2 linked regions of the Mytilus edulis genome follow. The protein of the gene in region 2 binds, or shares a complex with, the protein of the main gene of each other region. Links are inferred from orthologs where the notes say so. Each region holds a gene or a part of one and is shown on either strand. Other genes may lie near its edges.

The links.
Region 1: the proteins of dehydrodolichyl diphosphate synthase complex subunit DHDDS-like (region 2) and dehydrodolichyl diphosphate synthase complex subunit Nus1-like are in contact, whole or in part, in a crystal structure (PDB 7PAX), measured with the Homo sapiens proteins. The link is inferred for Mytilus edulis from reciprocal best matches to the Homo sapiens genes DHDDS and NUS1. Residues at the interface, in NP_995583.1 of Homo sapiens: Arg37, Arg38, Glu81, Asn82, Lys84, Arg85, Arg159, His160, Ile162, Ser163, Val166, Arg167, Met169, Ala170, Trp171, Val173, Glu174, Pro180, Ser181, Ile183, Ser184, Glu185, Leu188, His199, Glu209, Val210, Arg211, Leu212, Ser213, Asp214; in NP_612468.1 of Homo sapiens: His137, Gln138, Pro193, Glu194, Lys197, Ala198, Ile200, Val201, Ala204, Gln205, Phe207, Cys208, Gln209, Val211, Ala212, Arg217, Pro218, Thr219, Leu221, Asp222, Val223, Leu226, Asp237, Pro246, Val247, Asp248, Ser249, Thr250, Leu251, Gly252.

Annotation. Positions count from the first base shown.
Region 1 is NC_092353.1:18,904,339-18,916,441, reverse strand, and holds the start of dehydrodolichyl diphosphate synthase complex subunit Nus1-like, read right to left. Parts: upstream 4,787-12,103; 5' UTR 4,676-4,786; coding exon 4,399-4,675; intron 1-4,398. Other genes in the region: polycomb protein EED-like, read left to right, coding at 10,462-10,560. UniProt on the Homo sapiens protein: With DHDDS, forms the dehydrodolichyl diphosphate synthase (DDS) complex, an essential component of the dolichol monophosphate (Dol-P) biosynthetic machinery.
Region 2 is NC_092353.1:36,824,317-36,835,829, forward strand, and holds the start of dehydrodolichyl diphosphate synthase complex subunit DHDDS-like, read right to left. Parts: upstream 5,027-11,513; 5' UTR 4,908-5,026; intron 2,041-4,907; 5' UTR 2,034-2,040; coding exon 1,851-2,033; intron 715-1,850; coding exon 572-714; intron 1-571. Other genes in the region: PH-interacting protein-like, read left to right, coding at 5,290-5,344, 5,436-5,494, 5,572-5,601, 5,785-5,844, 7,277-7,427, 11,114-11,209. UniProt on the Homo sapiens protein: With NUS1, forms the dehydrodolichyl diphosphate synthase (DDS) complex, an essential component of the dolichol monophosphate (Dol-P) biosynthetic machinery.

The sequences.
Region 1 (12,103 bases), about 18 Mb from region 2:
AACAAAAATCTAAAGGACAAAGGGAGATAACTCTGCTTATAAATTTAGTATCTGATGTACCAAGAAATTCAGTTTACTTTAACCCTGACTTACTTGAAATTATCATTTTCTTTATCATTTTGAGTTACATTTGATTTTTTATTTACATGTATATATTACATTGTATATATTACATTGTATATAATATATATATACAGGTGTGTTTTTTTTATAGTGGCAAATTACATGTACAACCTTGAGAAGTGCTAGAGCTATATATTAGGTTGTTACATATGTACTGTCGGTTTTGATTCAATTGGTGTGTTTTTTATTGATTCCAGGAATATCAACATAGTTTCATAAGACTGAAAAAATGACCTGGTAGCCATAGATTAGTATATATTCCTTCAAACAGGGTTCTCACTAAGGCGAGTCCATGAGTCGTGGACTCATCAAAATCTGTCTGAACTTACCATTTTCAAAACTGGTGAGTCCACAGATGCATCAAGATTGAAATATTTTGTTTAAACTGAACACAGTTTAACACAAATATCATCATTTTATAGAAAAAGTTTAAAAGTGATCTGAGTTTAATGTCATTTCATTGCTCTGTTAGGAAATAGAGACCAAAACATTTGTAAAATACTACATATTAGGCCAACTAAAATTAATTAGTAGATTTTCATCCAAAGTTTTGAAAAAAATGGGGCGGGTGGGAGGATTTTATTTTTTAAATTTTAATCAATTTGAAATCTTCTTGTGGCGTGAACTTCATATATATATATATATATGCAAGTGTTATCATTACAAAATTTAGCTTATACCATGTAAATGTTTAAACATGTATAAAGAATCGTACATAATTCTTGAATAAACATCTCTGATTTGCAACGCGGACTGTTCTACATGCAATTGCTACTTTAGAAACATATTTTCAGCAAACAGTAAAACCATGGAGAAATTCTCTATTCATTTGACTACCAACTCCAAATTTATTTTGCTCTCTAAGCGATGGTTTGTAGTCCCCATAAACTTATGCAAATGCAATGGAATGCAGCACAAGTATTATGAATGAAATGAACACTCAAACAAGTGCTGCAAGGAATAGTAAAGTTGGCACTTTTAAGACTCTCAAGTTATGCAAGAAGTGACGCATATATAATTACATTGTAAATGGTATTTTGTGTTTTTAAAACAAAAACAATAGCCATAAGTTAATCTAAGGGGTTTCTAGTACACAATGTGTATGTTTGCCGACTTTTTGAACTCTTTTTTTTCTACCAATTTGTTCCACGATTCTTGCACTTTGGAAATCATTCACAGCCCAAATTTGCTTACACAAAGTCAATGTATTATTAAATAAATCCACAATTTTCTGATGAAAGAAATCATAAGTTCCAATTTGTGATATACCGCGATTTGCGTTGGACACAGCGTATTTAATACTCGTAATCCGAATATTTCATGCCCTTCTGGTAATCTTTCTATATTCTCTGTAGATGATACTGTCATCATTGAGCAGCAGATTTTGTCAGTGCTCTAGCTAGAAATTAAAAGGGGCAGGGTGCCAGTGGAGGGCAGGGCACTTTTTTTGATAAGAAAAGGCACTGCTCATTTTTTTGTCTACGTTTCTGTGTGTATCACGAGTTAACGAATCTCTTTTTTTTTTGGACTGTATATGTTGTTTTTTTTAAATAAAGATGCTTTTCAACTATAGTCTTTATTTCATTGTTTGTGTAGTTATGAATGGTATAGTACATCTTCATTAACATATTATGTTTTTAGAGTTTAACTTCACTCTACCCATTATCGAATATGTGTTTTTTTTTTTTTTTTAATCTATATAGGAATTACAGCTTTTAATACATCATTTGACCTAAAACTGAGAGCATTACTAATTTAACAATGTTTAGAACATGGATTGCTAAAAGTATAATTATCAAGTAGAAATTGCAATATATATTTTTTAATATGTTCAAAGACAGTTAATATCTTTAAGGTAACATTATTATGTTATTATATATTCAATTGGTAACTTATTCTTTTTTTTGATACTAGATAATATTTTAAGAGCACAAATTTGTAATAAGCTAAAACAGGGGAAGTAACTCCAAAATCAATTTCCACCACGTTTGAGTTAATTAAAAACTGTGCTTGTCGCTAACAAGTTGAGATGGAAGGCAATTCTGTAAAAGCATAGTTTTATTTTGATGACTTAAATTCAATTCTAAAGTCATGAAAGTCTTCATTTATATACGCTCTTCCATTGTGACTTGGAGATCGAAAATGCCGACCCAAGCTAAACACACTCGTTGACACATTCATCAAAAGTATGACAAAAAGATACATTGTCCTAATTAAATTACCTAGTTATTAACACTTTTGAAGTCTTTATCATTGTAATTGATTGTAATGACATGATTAACCTGGGGGCAATCACACAGGTGTCATATATGTAATTAACTTGGAGATCAGAAATCGATGAAACAAAATTTTACCAAAACGGCACAAGATAATTTTGGAAAAAGACGTCAGGGCAGAAGGGCGCGGATGAAGGCACCCAGGGCGCGGCTGAGGGCACCCAGGGCGCGGCTGAGGGCACCCAGGGTGCGGCGCCCTTCTATTTTGGGCTAGCGAGACCACTGTTTGTCAACATAATCGTTTTAAAGTCACTCGAAACAAGAAATATGAAAAACCGAAATTTTATAAACAGGAAGTTCGAATGAAACGAAATTATTGACAGTTACCGGTAACGGAAATGAACAAAATCTGGAAATCGTAAATTTTGCAAAATAAAAAAATCGAGGCAGGACGATTTCAGAGGGGCGGGCGGGGATGAAAATCTATCAATTAATTTTAATTGGCCTTATTGCAATAAGATATTTTCTTCTTGCTGTTGGACTCATCATGGCTTAAAATGACGAGTCCTTGGACTCTCCTTCAAAAATCCTTAGCGAGAAGCCTGTTCAAACAAGAAGTTCCATATTGTAAATGAGAGTATACATACAAATTGTGTTGAATGAAACTATGTGAGATACATGTACTCAAGTTTTAAGTGACAGCCAAACGTGACTAACAATTCATCAATATTTTTATTTGTTTTTTAAATCATGCAAAACTTCAATATTTAAACTGTTATGGATGAAGAGGAAGTCATGAGTAAGGTATAATTTGACTAATAACATCACTGTTATTTACAAGGCCCCACCTCTAAATCCGTCTCTGAGCCCCTAAACAAATATATATACTAGTTCAGTGATAATGAACGCCATACTAAACTCTGAACTATACACAAGAAACCAACAAAAAAACAAAAATACATAAATAACACCAGACTATATATTTACTAGCAGTTAACTGACATGCCAGCTCCAGACTTCAATTAAACTAAAACTGATTGAAAGATTATGTCTTCATCATATAGACCATACTTCTTACATTCTACACAGCTGGAACTAAAAGAACATAACCCATACCTAGGAGTGGAGCTGAATTTTGTATTTTAAAGAAGAAATTTATATAAATGCCCTCAAGAAATTAAACAACACGCTTACATTGCTCTGGTAAGTATGGGACCCCCATTGCACTGGACATCAAATGTACAGAAATGGTACAACACAGGGCAGCAAGATTTTTGTAACCAAGAACTACAACTACTAACCTGGCTCCATGACTGCAATCATATACAATCTTTGAATTGGCCTACTCTTGAAACGAGAAGAACAGCAAATCGCTTAATATTATTTTAGAAAATAGTGTACCATCAAGTAACCACTGAAATCCCAAATATTACCTCGTCAACAACAGGAAAACACGACATAGCCACACAGTCAGCATCATGCAGTCACAATGCAACACCTCCGAATACGAAATCAGAGACTGGAACCATCTACCCGGAAAAAACACAATTGACACCGACTCTGACACTTTTAACGAACAACCTCTGGTCACACTTTCATCCTGAGCCAGAGACACAGTGAATTGCTGTAAAGACCATCCTTGTTTTTGTCCTGCATTGATCACAATTTTAAACTTGTCTATACATGATATATATAAATTTTATTTATTTTCTTGGTTTTGTTGATCACAACCTGTACAGCACCTGCACTTGATGATACAGCATCAGCTTGATGGCATTTTTCCGTTGCTGATTAACAAAAGAAGAGATGAAGAAGACACACCTTATCGCTAATCCCAGTTGACCCGGCCGCTTGAACTTTTGACGCATACAACAACAACTTTTCCATTGTGGCGTCAGATGTTTTGTTTTATGACGTCAACATTTTATGGGAACCTGCATGATATCAAGCAATGGCCGACAAATAGCGATAAGGTGTATTGTAGTGTTCTTATATTATCTAGAATTTGCTCATGTGTCAGAAAATTATATTTGCTTGAAGTTTAACCATTTGAACTTACCATTCACATCATAAACACTGATACAAGATATCCCTAAAGCTAGTGACCATATTATAATATTAGCTATATCTGTGTATGAAAGTTTTTCTTCTAAAACAACTATTCCTATATGTACCGGCAACTTGTTTATCTGCCTTGCATCAGCTTTGATGAAGTCGACTGACGATTTTTGTTTAAATACCAAGCCGAAATGTATAAAATAACTTGTACATTGTTTTACAAACACTCCAAATGATAAAATACAATGAATTAGTCGTAACACAAGTTGTTCAAACATAGTTTACGTAGTATTATTAGTTTTAGCTTCTGAAAGAGTGGATATCATAATTTATCGGATCAGGCACCGGTCTTGTGTTCTCGTGTACCGGAAGTAATACGGTTAGAATGCTGAGGGCACTTCCTCTTTCGTGGAAAACACTATAAAAACACATAAGATAATAAAACCTGATGCAGATCAACTTTCTACTGAAATTAAATACAAAATATCAGTATCCCTTAAAACCCCTTTGCTTGTGCATTGAATCTGTCAAGAAAACGGAAAAGTATAAAAAGTATGGAGCACAAAAATAACATTTTCAACTCACTGTGCTTTCCTTGACGTCCGCGTTTAAAATTGAACATAAATTATAAAAATTTAAAAAAAAATGGGATTGAAATACTATGACCACAATCTCATATGCCCTAGAGTTGATCTGATTTATAAAATTGACCATCTTGAATTATTAAACTGACAGGGACTTTCTATACTAATATACTAGTATAGAGAGTCCCTTGTGTACTTTTTTATTTCTATTCTGAAAACTGACAGGTGATTCATCGCAATGTTAAAGGGGCACTAGGAGATATATAAAACATTGCTCAATCATTAATGAAATGCAAATAGCGGAAATAATATTTGGTTTTTAGCAGCCAGCATGGTTCAATTTTGTCAAAATAAGCTAAAAAAAAACCACATTGATTATGAATTATTCACTTGAAAGTGAATAATTTGACCTCATTGAATCCATATGCATGCCTCTGAAATAACTGATGCAATAAAAAATTTAAAGAATAACAAATCACCAGGATTAGATAATATTTTAAATGAGTATATAAAATATTCAACTCCAGCACTGGTACATATTTACTGTAAAATATTTAACATTGTTTTAGAAACAGGAATAATACCAGAGCACTGGACTATTGGTATAATAATACCAGTTTTTAAAAACAAAGGAGATACCATGGATCCTGATAACTTCAGAGCAATAACAGTAATAAGCTGTCTAGGAAAAGTCCTCACATCAATAATTAATCAGTTCTAGGTTAACCTTTTTTGCAAATGAAATTTCCTTAATTTCAAACAACCAAGCTGGATTTCGAAAAGATCACTCTACAACCGATAATTTATTCGTATTGCATGCCTTAATATCACTGTATCAGTCTTTTGGTAAAAAACTATTTTGTACATTTGTTGATTTCCGAAAGGCCTTCGACACTGTATGGAGAAGTGGTCTGTGGAAAAAACTACAGAACAGTGGTATAAAAGGAAAAATATTTACTGTTATTTTTAATATGTTTAATAATATTAAATCATGTGTTAAATACAACAACCAACAGTCAGAATATTTCCCCTGTCTAACTGGTGTAAGCAGGGGGGAAATCTATCTCCCTTTCTCTTTTCAATTTTTCTAAATGACATAGAAAAATTCTTTATTGATTTAGGTGGATGTCCCCTTGAGATAGTTAAAGAAAAATGTCAAAATGAGTTAAATTCAATTATGAAACTGTTTGCCATACTGTACGCTGATGATACCGTCATCAGTATGGCGGATTCTGCAGAAAGTATGCAAAATGCACTAAATATTTTCCAGAACTACTGTGAATTATGGAAACTGGAAGTTAATGTTACAAAAACAAATAGCATGGTATTTAGTAAAGGCAAAGTGCGACGGAAATTCGAATTTAAATTACAAGGCAAAAATATAGAATTAGTCGATACCTACTCATATCTTGGCCTTATATTTAAATGTAATGGTACTTTTACGGAGGCGAAGAAAAAATTAGTTAATCAAGCATAAAAAGCATTATACAGCTTGTACAAAAGTATTAGAAATCAAGCCATCCCACTAGATTTACAGCTTAAAATGTTTGATGCCTATTCTTTTATATGGCTGTGAGATTTAGGGATACGAAAACCTGAAAATTTTAGAACAAATTCACTTAAATTTTTGTAAACGTATTCTAAGAGTAAGATCTTCAACGCCAAACTATATGGTATATGGAGAATTAGGCAGATTTCCATTAGAAATAAAAGTTAAAATAAGAATGACATCATTTTGGAGAAGAATAATGCATGGTGACAAATTAAGTAGTAATATATATATAGATTATTATTAAGTTTAATGCAAACTAGCGGTCAATCATTCAAATGGCTGAACTTTATAGAATCAATATTTAATGATACAGGACTAGGATATGTGTTTGTCAATCAAGATAGTGCTGACTACAAGCATCTGATAAAACAGGTTTGACAAGACCAATATATACAAAAATGGCATCAAGATGTCCAATTATCTTCCCGAGGTGTATTTTATTCTAGTTATAAAAACTGTTTTGGTTTTGAAAATTAACATTATAAAAATACCGGAAAATGCAAGAATCTGGATGACAAAATTAAGAACGTCTAATATAAAAATTCCGATTGAAACTGGGCGTTGGTACAATATTCCGGTGGATGACCGAAAATGTCACATATGTAAAGAGAGTGCAGGAGACGAATTTCACTATCTTTTTATATGCAAGTCTCCTCAACTGGTTTGTTTTAGAGAACAACATATATTATCCCTAGTTATTATACCAGTAAGCAGAAATTATCTGTAATGGTATCTTACTGCAATGTTAATTTATATAGACAGGTGGCATCTTTTATCAGAAAGCTGAATAACTTATTGTGATATGTATATTAATTTGTATGAGTTATTTCTTTTTTGTCTTATTTTTTTATTTTTTGTCTTTATTTTTTTATTGTTTTTTATTGTTTATTTCGTTTTTTGAATGTTACCTTTGTGTTATAAATCATGTTTATCATTGTATATATGTACCTCATGTTACACATATATGTGTCTGAGCGTTGCTTTACAATAAAATCTTGAAATCTTGAATCTTGAACTTTAATTTAACCCCTTACCTTGAGATGGATGACATGTGAATTGTATGAGACCAAAGTGGTGTTGAAATCGAATTTTGAATATTGAATGCTGTAACCGAATGTTGATCGGAAATGAAAGTTGAAAGTTGAAAACGAATGTTGAATGTTGAAAATGAATGTCCGGCGAAAATCGAATATGTGAAAACGAATGTTGAATATTGAAGGTCAATTTTGAATGATGAAAAAAAAATGTTGAATGTTAAAAAAAAAAAAGAATATCGAATGTTTAAAAACGAATGTTGAATGCTGAGAACGAATGTTGAATATTGAAAACGAATGTTGAATATTGAAAATGAATTTTTAATGTTGAATGTTGAAAAACAAATTTCGAAAGTTTAAATGTTAAATTTGAAAAATGAATATTGAAGAACAAAATTATTTCAAAAAAGAAAAAGAGAAAAACAAAAATTGTAAACAATTTTTTTATGATTGTTGAAATTCGAATTTTGTATATGGAAAATGACTGTTGAAAACGAACGTTTAATGCTGAAAACGAATTTTGAATGTTGAATGAAATCGAATTTTCAATGTTGAAAACGAATGTTGAATGTTGAAAAACAAATATCGAAAGTTTAAAATCGAATTTTAAATTAAAACGAATGCTAAATGCTGAAAATCAATGTTAAAAATCGAATATGTGAAAAAAAATGTTAAAAACGAATGTTGAAAACGAAGAAAACGAATGTTGAAAACAAATGTTGAAAACGAATGTTGAAAACGAATATTGAAAACAAAGGAAACGAATGTTGAATATTGAAAATGAATTTTGAATGTTGAAAAACGAATATCGAAAGTTTAAAAACGAATGTTGAATTAAAACGAATCATGTTAAATTAGAACGAATGTTGAAGTTAAAACGAATGTTGAATGCTGAAAATAGAATGTTGAAAATCGAATATGTGAAAAAAAATGTTGAAAACGAATGTTAAAAACCAATGTTGAAAACGAATGTTGAAAACCAATGTTGAAAACGAATCACGGTTGAAAAAGAAGAAAACGAATGTAGAAAACAAATATTGAATTAAAACGAATGTTGAATTAAAACGAATGTTGAATGCTGAAAATGAATGTTGAAAATCTAATATGTGAAAAAAAAATGTTGGAAACGAATGTTAAAAACGAATGTTGAAAACAAATGTTGAAAACGAAGGAAACGAATTTGTTGAAAACGAATGTTGAATATTGAAAAAGAATCTTGAATATTAAAAATGAATTTTGAATGTTGAAAACGAATGTTTAATGTTGAAAATGAATGTCGAAAATCGAATATGTGAAAACGAATATTGAAAACGAATGTTGAATTTTGAAAGTAAATTGGTGAAAATGAATGTTGACAATCGAATATGTGAAAACAAATGTTGGAAACGAATGTTGAATATTGAAAACGAATGTTGAATATTGAAAATGAATTTTGAATGTTGAAAACGAATATTCATAATGTTGAAACACGAATATCGAAAGTTTAAAAACGAATGTTGAATTCGGAATCGAAGGTTAAATGTTGAATGTTGAAAACGAATGCTAAATGTTGAAGAAAATTGCCGGATTGTTGAAGACGAATGTTGAACGTTGAAATCGAATTTTGAAAGTTGGAAATAAAAGTTGAAATATTGGAACAAAAAACTTGCTGATGTTTAATGTTGAATGCATTTTATTTAGTTGAACTGAAACTCTGTTCTGCCCTTTTTATTATAGTTGATCCTGACTTTTTGTGCATAAATTGTCATCCTGCGTGTTTTTTTAATCCGGCAAAACCGTTGTCCTGTCTTTTTTCAAATTTCATCTTATCCCCCCCCCCCCCCCCCGTCCCTAAAAATGGAATGGTAGCTTCCTAAGTATCGTGGATAAAAAAGGTAGTTCAAAGTCGAAACGCCGACAGTCACATGAAAGTTTATGGCACTCACACCACATCTTCCTATATCTACTTATGACAACGGGAAATATATAAACTCCTTGAATAAGATAACATACATTTATTTAGCCTGGGTTCCCGCTGATTCAATATCCGTAATTCGTCCTGTGAAATATTTGTTTGGGAGCAACAATTTAGTTTAAGAAAAGGGGAATATCGTTTTATCTGAGTCAGAATATTTTTTTAAATATTGAACACTATTAGGTATGGGTGAAATCTGGAAACAGAATGTTTTTTTGTCATCTACTTAAATAGGATATTTTTTTTCTCATTAAATAGGAGTTAAGAATATTTTTAAAGAAAAAAACCGCATACACTCCCCCTTAATTTTCCCTAATAGTTTAGATTTTTAAACAAACCAGTTTAATAAATATACTAAACTGTATAGTTTTGATCATTTCTCTTTTCTCTTTTTGAATTTTTTTATCAAGACTTTTAAAAGGAAGATTATAATTTTTAACTGGAATTATTTGATCTTATTTGATCTTATTTGAGGGGCCTGATGGGTTATTTTCGTTCTTCGTGATCGGCCCATTTTCCGGCGGCTAACGTGATTCGCCGTTTTTCTACAATTTTTTTTTATATATTTTCGTGATCCGTGATCATGGAAATTTATTTTCTGTGAATCGTGATTGACAAAGAAATCAGCTCGCGAATCGTGATGAGACACCCATCAGACTCCTCTTATTATCCTTATTTGGTGAAATTTTTATTAATTTTTCAGAAATAAAAAAAAACCGCAAGAATTTTGATAAAGTTCAAAAATTTTGATAAAAAACCCAAGAAACTTCAATCGGAAAACTTTTGAATTTTTAAGTGTTTAATATACGGACCATGATATCAACTAAAATGTATATATTTATATATTATATATATATATTTTTAAAAATAAAAAAATTTCCCGCTCGATTGCTGTTGGGTCAAGTGATAGTCATGTGACTTGACAAAGAAAAATTTAAAAATGTCGGACAGCGAAGAAAGCATGTCAACAATGCCAGTGTTACAAAAAAGACCCAAAATATCACTCCCAGCAAACACAGACGGTTCAGGGGATGATCAGGTTAATTATATGCTTTTAATAACATCGGTCTTACGATTAATTCAATCAAATAAACAGCTTTGGATCCCTAAAACAGTAAAAGAACAAAATGTAGCTAAATTCTAAATCTTCATCATTGTTCATGTTGATGTTTCTTATTGACTATGTCACTAGAATACGCCTGTTAAGTCTGTAACCCTTACTTTACCGAGGATATAAACAAACTTAAAAAGGTGCAAAGAAGGGCTGCTAGGTTTTTCACAAACCAACATAGAAAGTGTACATGTTTGTGACATGATATAAATCATTTAAAATGGAGAGACCTCGCACACAGAAAAACAGATGCATGCCTTGTCATGTTTTATAAAATCACATCTCATCTCCGAGCAACAAAAAAAACCCAGGTAGACTAATAAAAACGCTCAGATAGACCCAGAACATGTATACAGGCTATAGCTAGTACATAAATCCATCCTGCACAAATACGCCAACAATCATTTTTTCCAGGATCAATTAAAAACAGGAATAACCTTACTCTGAATATTGTAATGAGTGACTAAAAATATTAGGGCTATTCCAGAAAAAAATGTATGGAGGGTTGGAAGGCAGTTTTTGTCAGCACCCATCACCCAGACAATTGTAATTGAGAATTATAGTGCATTATAGTGTGAAAAGTTGCTCTGATACCAATCACCATTGTATTATTAATATAAAGTGCCTTCCAACCCCCCATAAATTTTTTTCTGGAATAGCCCTTATCAATTTTGTTATTAATTATAAAATTGTTAAATTTTCACTGTACATACTTCTACACAAAGCAGTATGCGCAGTACAAGTGTCAGACATAAACTTTAATATGTTGAAGGTGGTGACTACAAAGAAGAAAATAGTAGAAGTAGAAGGAAAATCCACTGATCCCTTTGAATATAAAAGAAAAGATGTGGGATGATTGCCAATGAGACATTTATCCACAAGAGACCAAATTACACAGAAATTAACAACTATAGGTCACCATACAGCCTTCAACAATGAGCAAAGCCATACCACATAATCGTCCTGAACATACATGAAATATTTGCCACTGGACGTTAATCAACCAACAATCAATCAATCAACCATACTGCATAGTCAGCTACGTGTAAAACAATTCCATGTTCATTTAGCTGGTCTGAATTTTTTGAAGCTAACACTATTTTTCTATACTGACAAATATACATGTATAAGATGTCATGCACATGTCACCAAATTTCACAAGAAAGTGCTCCACTTTTAAAGCTGGAAAAACTTGTACATTCCTGTACATGTATGTTTCATTAAAATTAATATTTTAAAATTAAGCAATTACCAAGTCTCCAAGCATGCCAAAATTTCATATTAGTTAGTACATGTAAGGACTGGAAGGAATCTCATCTTCAACAATATTAAATGCAAATATTTGATGTTGGCAAAATAAACCAAACATGTTTATTTAACATGTACAAAATGTAAATTAAGAAAATTGCAAACCATTCATTATGATCATCATTATCAGGTCTCCAAAAAATTGTGTTTACTTTGCAGGCTT
Region 2 (11,513 bases):
AATAAAATAACTACAATGTACAAACAAGTAAGGATATCTTGTCAGACTGTTGAAAGATTAAATCCTCTGCATTTGTTTGCACCTATCCTAAGTCAGGAACCTTTTGTACAGTGTGGTGAGTGGTTGCCGTTATGTAGAACTTTGGTCTTCTTGTTTGAATTCTTTTACACTATAAAATTGAGAATGGAAATGGGGAGTGTGCCAAAGAGACAACAACCCGACCATAGAAAAAAAAAAACAGCAGAAGGTCACCAACAGGTCTTCAATGTAGCGAAAAATTCCCGCACCCGGAGGTTTTCAGGCCTTTTATAGCTTGCTGTTAGGTGTGAGCCAAGGCTCCATGTTGATGGGCGTACTTTGATCTACATGTATAAATGAATACTTTTTACACATTGGGACTTGGACGGAGAGTTGTTTCATTGGCACTCATACCACATCTTCATATTTCTATTAAATGTAAGTATTACATGTTTTAATTTAATAATTCAAATAGGAAAACAAACTGTTCATTTCTCCAAAATGGTTGCCAAGGGAAATAACTATGGGATATCAATGTCAATTTAAATCTTACTTTTCTTCCATCAGTCTTTTAAACTTTTTCCTTGCAAGTTCCATGAGACAATCAACCTCCGCTTTAGATCTCTTAAAGTTCTCTATACTAAAGGCATAAACAGTAACTTCTGTGATTCCAATGTCCAAACACCATTCTAAAACCTGTAAAATTTCAAAACAGGTTGTCAGTTTGTGTCCTTATTTGGCCAAAAAAATATGTACAGTGTAACCTGTCCAATCAGACACCTGATTATTCCAACATACTGCCTCTTGTAACAGTGTAAACTGTCAGAGTGTACAATAAAATCTTGCTTAAACGGACACATTTTCATGGTCTCAAAATATGCCTATCCTTGCAGAAAAAACCTGAATATTCCGATACCCTGCTTAATCTGGACATCTTTTTCTGGTCTTCCAGTGTGTCAGATAATAAAGGTTGCACTGCAATTTGGTCTAACAAAATCATAGGAAAAATCAAATGTACAATGTATCTAATAAATTGTTGCTTCCAAATCTTTTGAATATTGTCATCTATCATGTCTATAAATATTCATCTCAATTAGTATTGATTTTAACATTTTTAAGGTCGAAAGATGGGATGAGATTAACAATAAACAAAATACTACTTTGCTTTAATACATTATTTTGAGAATGCGAAATATCAAACCACTTAAAATTCATAAGATAGATGTTGTTCACACACTTATAGTTAATTATTTTGTTTGTTTCTCAAATGTGCCTGGTACCTGTCAATCACTTTAAAATTGACCAATACATGTACATGTGTCTGTCTAAACATTTAAAAGTTGTCTTTCTTCTAGGATCTTTATAACAATTATTGTCATTTTTTACAGTACATATTTCTAAAAACCTTGTCCTTTCAAAATACCAATTGGAAAAAAAAAATTCCAATCTACATTCATCAAACATGTCAAATTGATAGATCTTCAATGTAATAGTGAATAGTTTTAGTCTATTGCTAGTGAAAGTTTGTTTGTATAAAGCAAGTAAGGTGTAATACAAATTTGACTTATCATCCACTTCGATTGATTGTCTTCAAATTTATTTTGTGAAATTACGTGACATTGGAACAATTTTGAAGACCTACATGTACTTATTATCATGATCAGGAACACAGCTTGCTAACAAAAACTTTGACTTGAATACAAAATTGATTGGTTTGTTGGTTTTATTTTCAGACTAGCAAAAAAGATAACTCTCCATTTATTCCTGATTTCAATTGTGAGTTTATAAAAACCCTTCGGAAGTTCAAATATAAAATACAATGAATATAATACCTCTGTAAGTTTGTCAAAACCTTTCAGATGACCCTCAGCTCGTTCCATACTATTTTTCACAGCGAATCTTCTATTGCCATCCATTATAACGGCTACATGTTTAGGAATTTGTCCAAACCCAAGGATCCTTAAACACATTCTGTGGTACCATGCCTTAGGCTGCTCAGGGAACCACGTTGACATATTGAAGCTGTTGAAATGAAATATTCATATTTTCAGAATCATTGAAAGAACAACTTTCAATCAATTAATGAAACATGACTATTTAAAAGCTACAGGAACATAATTATAAACATGGAAAAAATCAATAGAAGATTTCATTGAATCATCACAAGTAGTTTTCCTTGAAACTGATCTCATAACATGTATAAAACTATGCACAAGTTTTCAAGTCAATAGACCTTGACTGAGAGGACATGTACAGGCCAACTAATCTCCATGGGAAAAAAAGTAGGGGAAGAGATAAATAATTTATGACTAAGTATTGTGGTTGTCAAGTTCAAAAGATCCAATTCCTATTTGATGTCCAGTTTGTTGGCCCCCAAAACAGAATAATAGCTCCCCTCTGACTTTTCTGTTATGTTCAGGCCTAGCAGGATTCAATAATAGTCATACATGTTGTACATGTAGCATTATTACATGTATGTTTACTCGACACCAGTTTCTGGGTTGACAAAAAAAAAGTTAATTTACTAAGTAATACAGTTGCACTTTATATATCTGCCCAAATGATAGAGCAAATGTATCTATCTTATAATTTATATAACTATGCATTAAAACTAAAAATTAAAATAAAAACTATATTGATAAATTACATTAACATGATTAATGACATGAACAAACCCTATTGATTTTTAAAATTTTGCAAACAATACTTCAGGAAGGTTGTCTGCAAACATGTCAGAACCCAGCCAATTCTGTGTGAGCCAGTCCCCATTCAGGAGCCTGTAAGTCCCTGTTGTTTGTTGCTGTATATCATATTTCAATAATTGTTTTGTACAGAAGTTGGGCACACATCTTTTTGTCTGAATTGTTTGAAATTTTTTATTTCTTTAATTGCTTGCTATAAGGTAGGAGTTTTGCTCATTGTAGAAGGCCATATACATGTAGTGACCTATAGGCCTCAGAACACAATTATTCTTCCCCTTGGCTACAATGCATTTTTTAGTTAAAGTCAAATCGAATTAAAAAAATTGCACCGCCACAAACATGAAATAAATTTAAATGCTTATAGACCATTATTATTCTAATAAAATATGCTTGTCCCAGTACAATCCATCAGTGCTTTTTCTTTTGAGGGCCCTATTAGCATGCCAATGGTAGGATTTGAATCTTGAACAAATGACGAAGGCTGATTTCTACCCTACTTTCATTTTGGCCAAATCACTACTTTCACTTTCAACAATCATTTTTTTCCACATGTTTTACTTATTTAAATATATATGCAACTGATAGGACCACTCAAATAGTAAACATTTCAAAGAAAACAGTAGACAGATTACTTGGGAAGAAATACCCCATATAATAATTGGGAACTATATTCCTAGACCACGAACAAAGGGAATTAATTGTGATCTGAGGCCTATAATTGTTAACTTAGTTATAATTGTATAATTGTTACACCTAGTCCAAACCAGAAAAATTAAAATAGCCTTGCAAGACGTCAGAATTATTTGGACTAGCAGCCATAGAAAGGCGTCCCAGAAAAAAAATTAAAATAGGCTTGCAAGATGCTCGGGGGGGCCACTTCAAACTTTTTTTGGTAGGGGTGAGCAGCTGAGACATCAAGTACCCCACCCTTTTCATATATTTTGTTTATCAAAAATATATACCTTGTCATATATTAATGAACAAAAAACAGACCTATAGATATATTTGGATATTTTTTATCTTCTTGTACATTAGTATTTACAAAAAGTTTTGCGGTCCCGCTCATTTTACGTTCTTGTTTAGAAGCAACGCAGTCGCAATAATCACACCTTGTTTTTCCAATAAATTCTTCGCTCCTCTATTTGCCAGTGCTATTTGCCCCTTTTATATCTTTGATTATGATGAAATTTCAATTTCAAAAGACAATAACATATGTTTTGTCAGATAAATGTAGTAATACTTCAGATAGTATCACTTTTACTGAGTTTAACATTAATTAAAAACTGATTTGCCGTTCCCTCTTGAAGGACGCTGACACTATGCTATGGAATTTCTTTAAATGTTTCATGTATACAAACCTTTCAATGTTAATTAGGTGGAAATGTCAAAATGATTGGATTTATTGCATCTATAACTAACCTCAGTGGAAATACCACATTGAATAAATAGAGTTTAATTGGTTTGACAAATAGCTGATGCATTTACGACTGTGGTTTAACCGCATCAAAAATAAATACGAACATTTGATTAATTTCAGATACTTATGATATAATCCAGCAAGTGATAATATCAACCTATTGATATATTTAATCTGAATTTCTCACCCTTTTCATATATCATGAAGCATGAAATAGTGACCTATTCCAGCGGCTCATCCCTACCAGTCATTATATAGGAAGTGGCCCCCCCGAGGCAAGATGTCATAATCATTTGGATTAGCATACACCATTTTCTTATTTAAATATTTTTATATCTACACAAATTATATACAAGTATTGTTCCATAATACTGATATACGAGTATTATGGCCACTAAGTTCAATTGATCCTGAACTTCTATAGCCATTATATTATCTTGTTCTTAATTTATTTCACTGTTGAAGCTTGGAGTTCAGAACATCATGCACCTAGCTTTATAATCTTGTTTATAGCTATAATTTCAATTTTATCTTATAGTTCTTTACTAGAATACACAAAAGGGAATAAACTATAAAATGGTTAAATGATTGCACCATGAAAGGTACAAAACATGTATAACTTTGTCTACTTAATTTGAAAATATTTAACAACAAATGCTAAAATTTGTGTATGCACATCACAGTGGTCATGAAATCATGTGTAAATATGGTGTATATATGTCAGATGTACAAATTTATTTATAAAACAATAAATGTACAAAATACTTTACCACCAATATACGGTACAATTAACCACAGATTAAATGATGAAACACCAGCTGAGAACAAGTGAGGGAATCACGAAGCGAGGGCTATCCCCATATGTGTGACGTAGCACCGGGTTGTGAGTTGGCTAAATTTCAAACATTCACAATATAGTCCGGTATATTTATATTTTACGAGGTGAATTGTCGGCCTCTTTTGATAATGTAAAATAATTAGGATAAATTATACTTAAAATGAATACAGCAATGCTCATATTTACAAAACAAAATAGATTTAAAAATTTTAGAATATTATTCTTCCGCGTTTCGATCCATGGCAGTAAACAGAAAATGGCGTCGATATCGCTCATTGAATAACCCACACAGTTCATTGTTTAATTAAGTTTTAATGATGAAGCCGGGGCCAAGTAGAGAAAACAGAGAAATATCATCAATAGAAGCTGGTAAATTAATGCTTTTATTTTGAATTCATGTGTAGTTTATACGAATAAAACTTAATCCAATGTACTAGCAGTCTTTCTGTTTTCTTTTCAGAGTTATATTTCCTCATCGCCAGATTCTTGTCTTCTGGACCCTGTTCCGATGCCGCTCAGGTAAGTCTTTGGCATTATTATGTCTGTAAGGGCTCATTTGACTGACCTCACACTCAATTTACCCTTTTCTTTTCCAGGCACTTCGAAAAGAACTAGAAAAACACAAGGTAAGTGTGCGAAAATTTGACATGTTTTCAATCCAAATTACGCGCTTTTACGGTAGAAAACGGATAAAAAACGGCAATATAATGTTGAAATTTAATTAGATTTGTTACGGATTGTACTTGCTGTCATTGTAAACGGACAGTTCCACGGAACATTTGGAATAATGATTTTTTGGAATTTTGTAGCTTTTGCCAAAAAGAATTGACTGGGAAGGCAGGGAACACGAAAGAAGTTTTGAAAATTTGGTGAGTTTTCGAAAAACAAGAAATTGACATTTTTTACTTTTTCCATTTTTAGGAAGATTTTTTCGTCATTTTGTTTCTTGTGTTTTATCTGTTGAGTGTTATTTTAAGATGCACTTAATTTTCATCTTTTTAAGTCAATTTTATTAAAAAATCAATTGTTTTCATGATTTGCTTTGAAATTGTAATAATTTCTTTGAGGCCATTATCATATCTGATGCACAAGGTCATGTGTGATGTCATTGACCCCAAAGTTCAGATTTATAACCAATGAGAGAACAGCAAGCTATATTTAGAAAGTATCTTCTGATTTCTCTAGACTTATCATTGATGTGATTGATTAAGTGTATAAAAGTTTATATTCTTGTTTTCCTTTTTGAAATAAATAATTTTGTCAAATATTCAGTACAGATTTTAAATATGCTAACAGATCTCATTAAAATATTGAAGTCTTAAACATGAAAAATATTTATAAAAAATCTTGACAAAAATAAAAACTTCTCAATATAATTTTTAAAATTGTGTTATTTACAACACTGATTGTTAAAGAAATAGTTTTGAAGTACATTAATTTTGAATTTCAAGGTCACAGTCATCTTTAATTGTGCAACTTTTTAAAAGTTATAAGAAAAAGATTTTTTTTTTTATAATAGACAATATTTTATTGGCACAAATTCTGCCAATAAAATATTGTCTATTGACAAACACATTTACAATAAATGGTAATGACCGAATGGATAAACAATTTGCAATACATGGTAGTAAAATACAAACAATTATATTTATATGTGAATAAAAGATTGAACAATAATGAATTACATATTTATGAGGTAGAGTAATATTTAATATCTTTTAGTAAGACCAAGGATTTGTATAGTAAGATCTTACTATACAAATCCTTGGTTAGACATCAGATTTATTTTTTATTATTATCAGGGACTTTTATCTAAACTATTATGATAGTCAACACTTGTATTTGAAAGTGAAAATAAAAAAATATCTTCTTTTATTGAATTTTTCATAACCATGATGACTACAATGCTCTATTTTAGTATTTATTTTTATTGTATGTCTTTTGAAGTCGGTGGAGGATTTAGAGCCCTCCCCATTTTGTAAAAAAAAATTGGTTGATTGTTTTAGGAATCACTGAAGCATGACAGAAGCAGGTCTAAGGCAGTTAGTGTCCCCACTACCATCCCTTATAAAAAATTCTTGATCTGCCACTGGAAGTTTTCTTTTCTATTCATAAAAGTATAATTTCATGGACAATTCAAATCACATTTGTCTTATTTTCAAAATACCGACCACCCATCAAACACCTATAGCTATCAATCAATGAAATACTGAAAATGTTTGTCTAAATAAGCTTCTGTGGTTATCATAAAATTAGAAATTAATAAATAATGGAAATTTAATTTAATTATAATTTTTGCAGGTTGAACTATACCGTCATGTGACATCTAACCATTTATTACACATATGTCAGAGACTTGGACCTTTATTAGATAAAGATATCAAACCAAGTGTATGTGGTGTCCAGTCTTTACTTGGTTCTGGTAGCAATTCTTTATTGAGGACAAAAGACGGTAAGTTGTATATGTTTAACATGTTTTCCCATCTTTTTGGTGTAAATGGTTATGTACCTTGATCACTATTTTAAATTTCTCGATGTCATAGTTGTCAACACTTCAGATGTTGCTAAAACCCTCATTCTTTACATTTTTAATATATAAATCACTGTTTTTAACCAGTATTGATTGTTGTTTGCTTAACGTCCAGTGGCAAATATTTCATGCATGTTCAGACGAGCCAGTCTTCTAAGAGGTACATCAAAAATAAATCTTTCTTTACAGAGAAATATTGCAATATCTATTAACTTTTTTAGGATTTGTAAAGATAAAGTTGTTAAGCTTGTAAAAATTGACAAATTATTAAAAACTTTGATTGTGAATACAACATAAAATGGCCAAGTTACTGGATATATTATTTTAGCTTATATGAACATTATTGATTTAATTTTAAAAAAAAAATAGAAACAGAAGTTTGCTGAAAAACATAAAAACTGTTATACAGGGGCCGTGTCAATGAAAGTATCCTAGGACATGTCCTAAGATAGGTCTTAGGACATTATTTAGGATGGTCTTAGGACGTGTCTGAGACATGTCTTAGGATGTAAAACAAAGCTGTCTTAGGACAGTCCTAACTACGATGGTCCTAGGACCATCCTAACACATTTATTTTAAAAATAAAATGTATGTAGATATTTGTATGACATAGATTGAATTGTATTTTAGAACCTATATGTAAAGAGAGGGAGGATGACTCTTATATATATAGAAAACAATTAACGCAAAATAAAAGTAAAGTTTTTACGGAATACTAATAAGTACGTTATTAAATATGATAAAAGATATAAATGAATTTAATACGAAAACAAAAGTAAATGGTCACAAAACTTTGTGATATTCGTGCTGCAATTTTAGTACATAAACTAGTTTTGTCCTTAGGTCCACTCGATTTCATTATGTATCGAATCAGGATTAGGTAAAAAAGAAGTAAACTTTTCCCCATATTTGAATTATTTAAAATATGTTGCTTATGATGATAGTATTGTTTAGGCTTCAAAAAAGGCAGCACAAAATAATTTAATATATAACAATTAAATCTTTAACAAACATTAAACAATATTTTTTTTATTAATTTTATCTAATGATAGTTTAATATTGTATTAGTATTTTTAGTATTGAGTTTATGCCATACTTGTTGTTTTTATTACGTTTTATGACGATGTAACCTTTCGGACTATCCTAAGACACCTAATTGTATATCCTAACTTTAGGACCAAATTTAGGACATATCTTATTTTAGGAGACTTTCGTTAACCCGACTTAGGACTAAGACGTGTCCTAAGACCATCCTAAGACATGTCTTAGTCCTAGGACAGCTTCGTTGACACGGCCCCAGAATGTTTGTACATGTACAGTCTGATTGTCAGACTTCAAAAAATATATATTAAATTGTATATTAAAAAACTGGAAACACCACCTTGAAATGCACATGAAATAAATATAAATCATAAATATTATATACATGTACTAAAATTGTATAAATACGAAATTTTTTATTTAAGAAAGCTCAATTATGAACATAATCATTAATAGCATAGATACAACAAAGAATAACATTTAAACAATCTTAACTAAAATTAATACTACACAAGTATCAAAGTATATGTGTTCAAAGGGGAATAACTCGAGTGTAAAAATATAAGTAATTATTTTACATTATAGGCAGCAAACAAAAATTCACACTTTTATTCTAAGTAAAAAACACATATTTAGGTACTTAGCTATACTTTTGCATACATCAGTGTCTTCATTACTAAATCACCATAAAAACGGAGAATTGATATTTGTAGAATTAATAAAGTTTTTATTTAAACAGTTGTAGAGTAACTCCTTCCTTAAATGAGAAATTTTTTGACATTTTAATAAAAAAAATGTAACTCATCTTCAACCAAATTTATATTACAGTTCTTACAAATCCTGTTATCTATAGGAGTTTTTGGTATAGTTTATCTACCAATTTCAATATGAAGTTTATGACTGCTGGTTCTGAACCTTGTCATACTTACTCTATCATTATCATTACTTAAAGGGGCACTAGCTACGAGATATATAAAAAATCTAAAGTATGATTTTTGTTTGTTCAATCATTAATGAAAATGAAATAGTGAAATAATAATTCACTTTTAGCAGCTAAAATGGTTCAATTTTGTCAAATTAAGCTAATAAAAATTGACGACTTATTCACTTGCAAGTGAATAACTCGACCTTGTTAAACCTGTATTCATGTGAACTCCAATTTAACCCCGTAGAAAGAGATAGAATAACGCATGCATTGTCCGTGTACAGTTATTTAAAGGAAAATTATGTCAACATTGAAAGTGAAACAAAAGTAAATAATTTGATTGACTGATTCGCTCCACAAAAAACATTCTTATTTAGGAAAAAACGATGATAAACATAAATTTTTAATCTATAATACAAAATTTAGTAGACCTATAAAAATCTAACTGCACGAGTTTCTTAATCTATTTGTATCTATGTTTATGTTTACATTGCTTATATGGTCACAGAAGGTCAACTCGAAATTTAATTAGATGGTGTCATTGCTAAAATTCACACGAAACGAAGCTAAATCTTTTTGAGACCATGGCCTGTAAATTGCTTAATTTATACTTTTGATAGTTTGGAAAAATGTTTTACATTGTTATAAATAAAATATGAAAATTTGAGTCAAATTGGTGAACATGAATTTGACAGCTAGTGCCCCTTTAAACGGATAAATATTTTTCAAATTTAAAAATATTCTTAAATAATCTATATGTTCTCAATTTATCACTAGTTTGTAGTTGCTGAGACCGCTGTTTTTCAAATTTACACTTAAGGCACTTTCTTAATCATGTTAATACTAACAAAAAATATTTTTTTAATCAAATTATATTACATGTTTGGCCGATGTTTACTCCACAACTCAGAAAAAGAATCAAGAAAAGTGAAATGGACTGTTTAAAAAAAAAATGTCATGTGTTACTATCGCATTGTTGTATACAGGTATATCCAGCATTACTTTTCACAACCCTTCAAACACCTTTCAGTTTGAATTTCAGACACATATATATAGAACTTTGAATAAGCTGTGAACTTATAAACTTTAATAAATATTTGATGTCTAACATTTGTTTAGATTAAAATATACATATAATTTTTGTAACAATGTAACAGATGTTCATAAACATACATCATTTTTATTTGTCAATGATGTCTTTATTTTAAGTACTTCAATTGTAACATGTAAACAGATGGGAGATAAGTCTTATTGTAATTGATTTATACTTTTAGTTTATTAAGTTATTATATTAAAGAGGCACTAGCTACAATATCTACAAAAAATCATGATTTTTTTTATTGTTCAATCATTAAAGAAATTGTATAAGCAAATATGTTTTAACTGAAGTAAATCCCTTTAGATTATTGACTTGTACATGTAAAAAAACCCAGATATCACCATGTATAATTATGATCGTTATACCTAAAATTGTCTGGACTAAGGGGAATAACTCAATTTATCATATCGCACTAACAGTCAGAGCTCAGAGACAAAGATTCGGAAATGTCAAATTATGCATGTTTTATATTTGTACTTAATTGATTGACATTCTTAAAGTATGTGCTCAAATGTTCATATACTTCATATAAATATTTAACAGCAATATTAAATCCAAGATGGCCACCAGTTACTCATGTTGTGATGCATCATCAGAGACCACTTCTTCCTCCAAACAATCTTGTTATACCAAATGTTGGTAAGTGTATTATTATATCAAGTGTGATCAATTGCAACAGTTAAAAACTAATTCATGTTTATGAAGAGATTTATTGTAAAACAAATTTACTGATTAAATCTTTTCCCTTTGACATAATTTAACTAATTTAAGAAATCTGCATTAGTTAGCATTACTTATAAGTTTTGAAGAAAATTTTTGAAATTATTTTTTAACTACAATACATAATCATATTTCACATATTAATATATAAAGCCAGAATTAACATCTACCTCCAAACAACCGCAGGCCATTCATTAGGAGGCGGTACCCGGTACTTTTACCC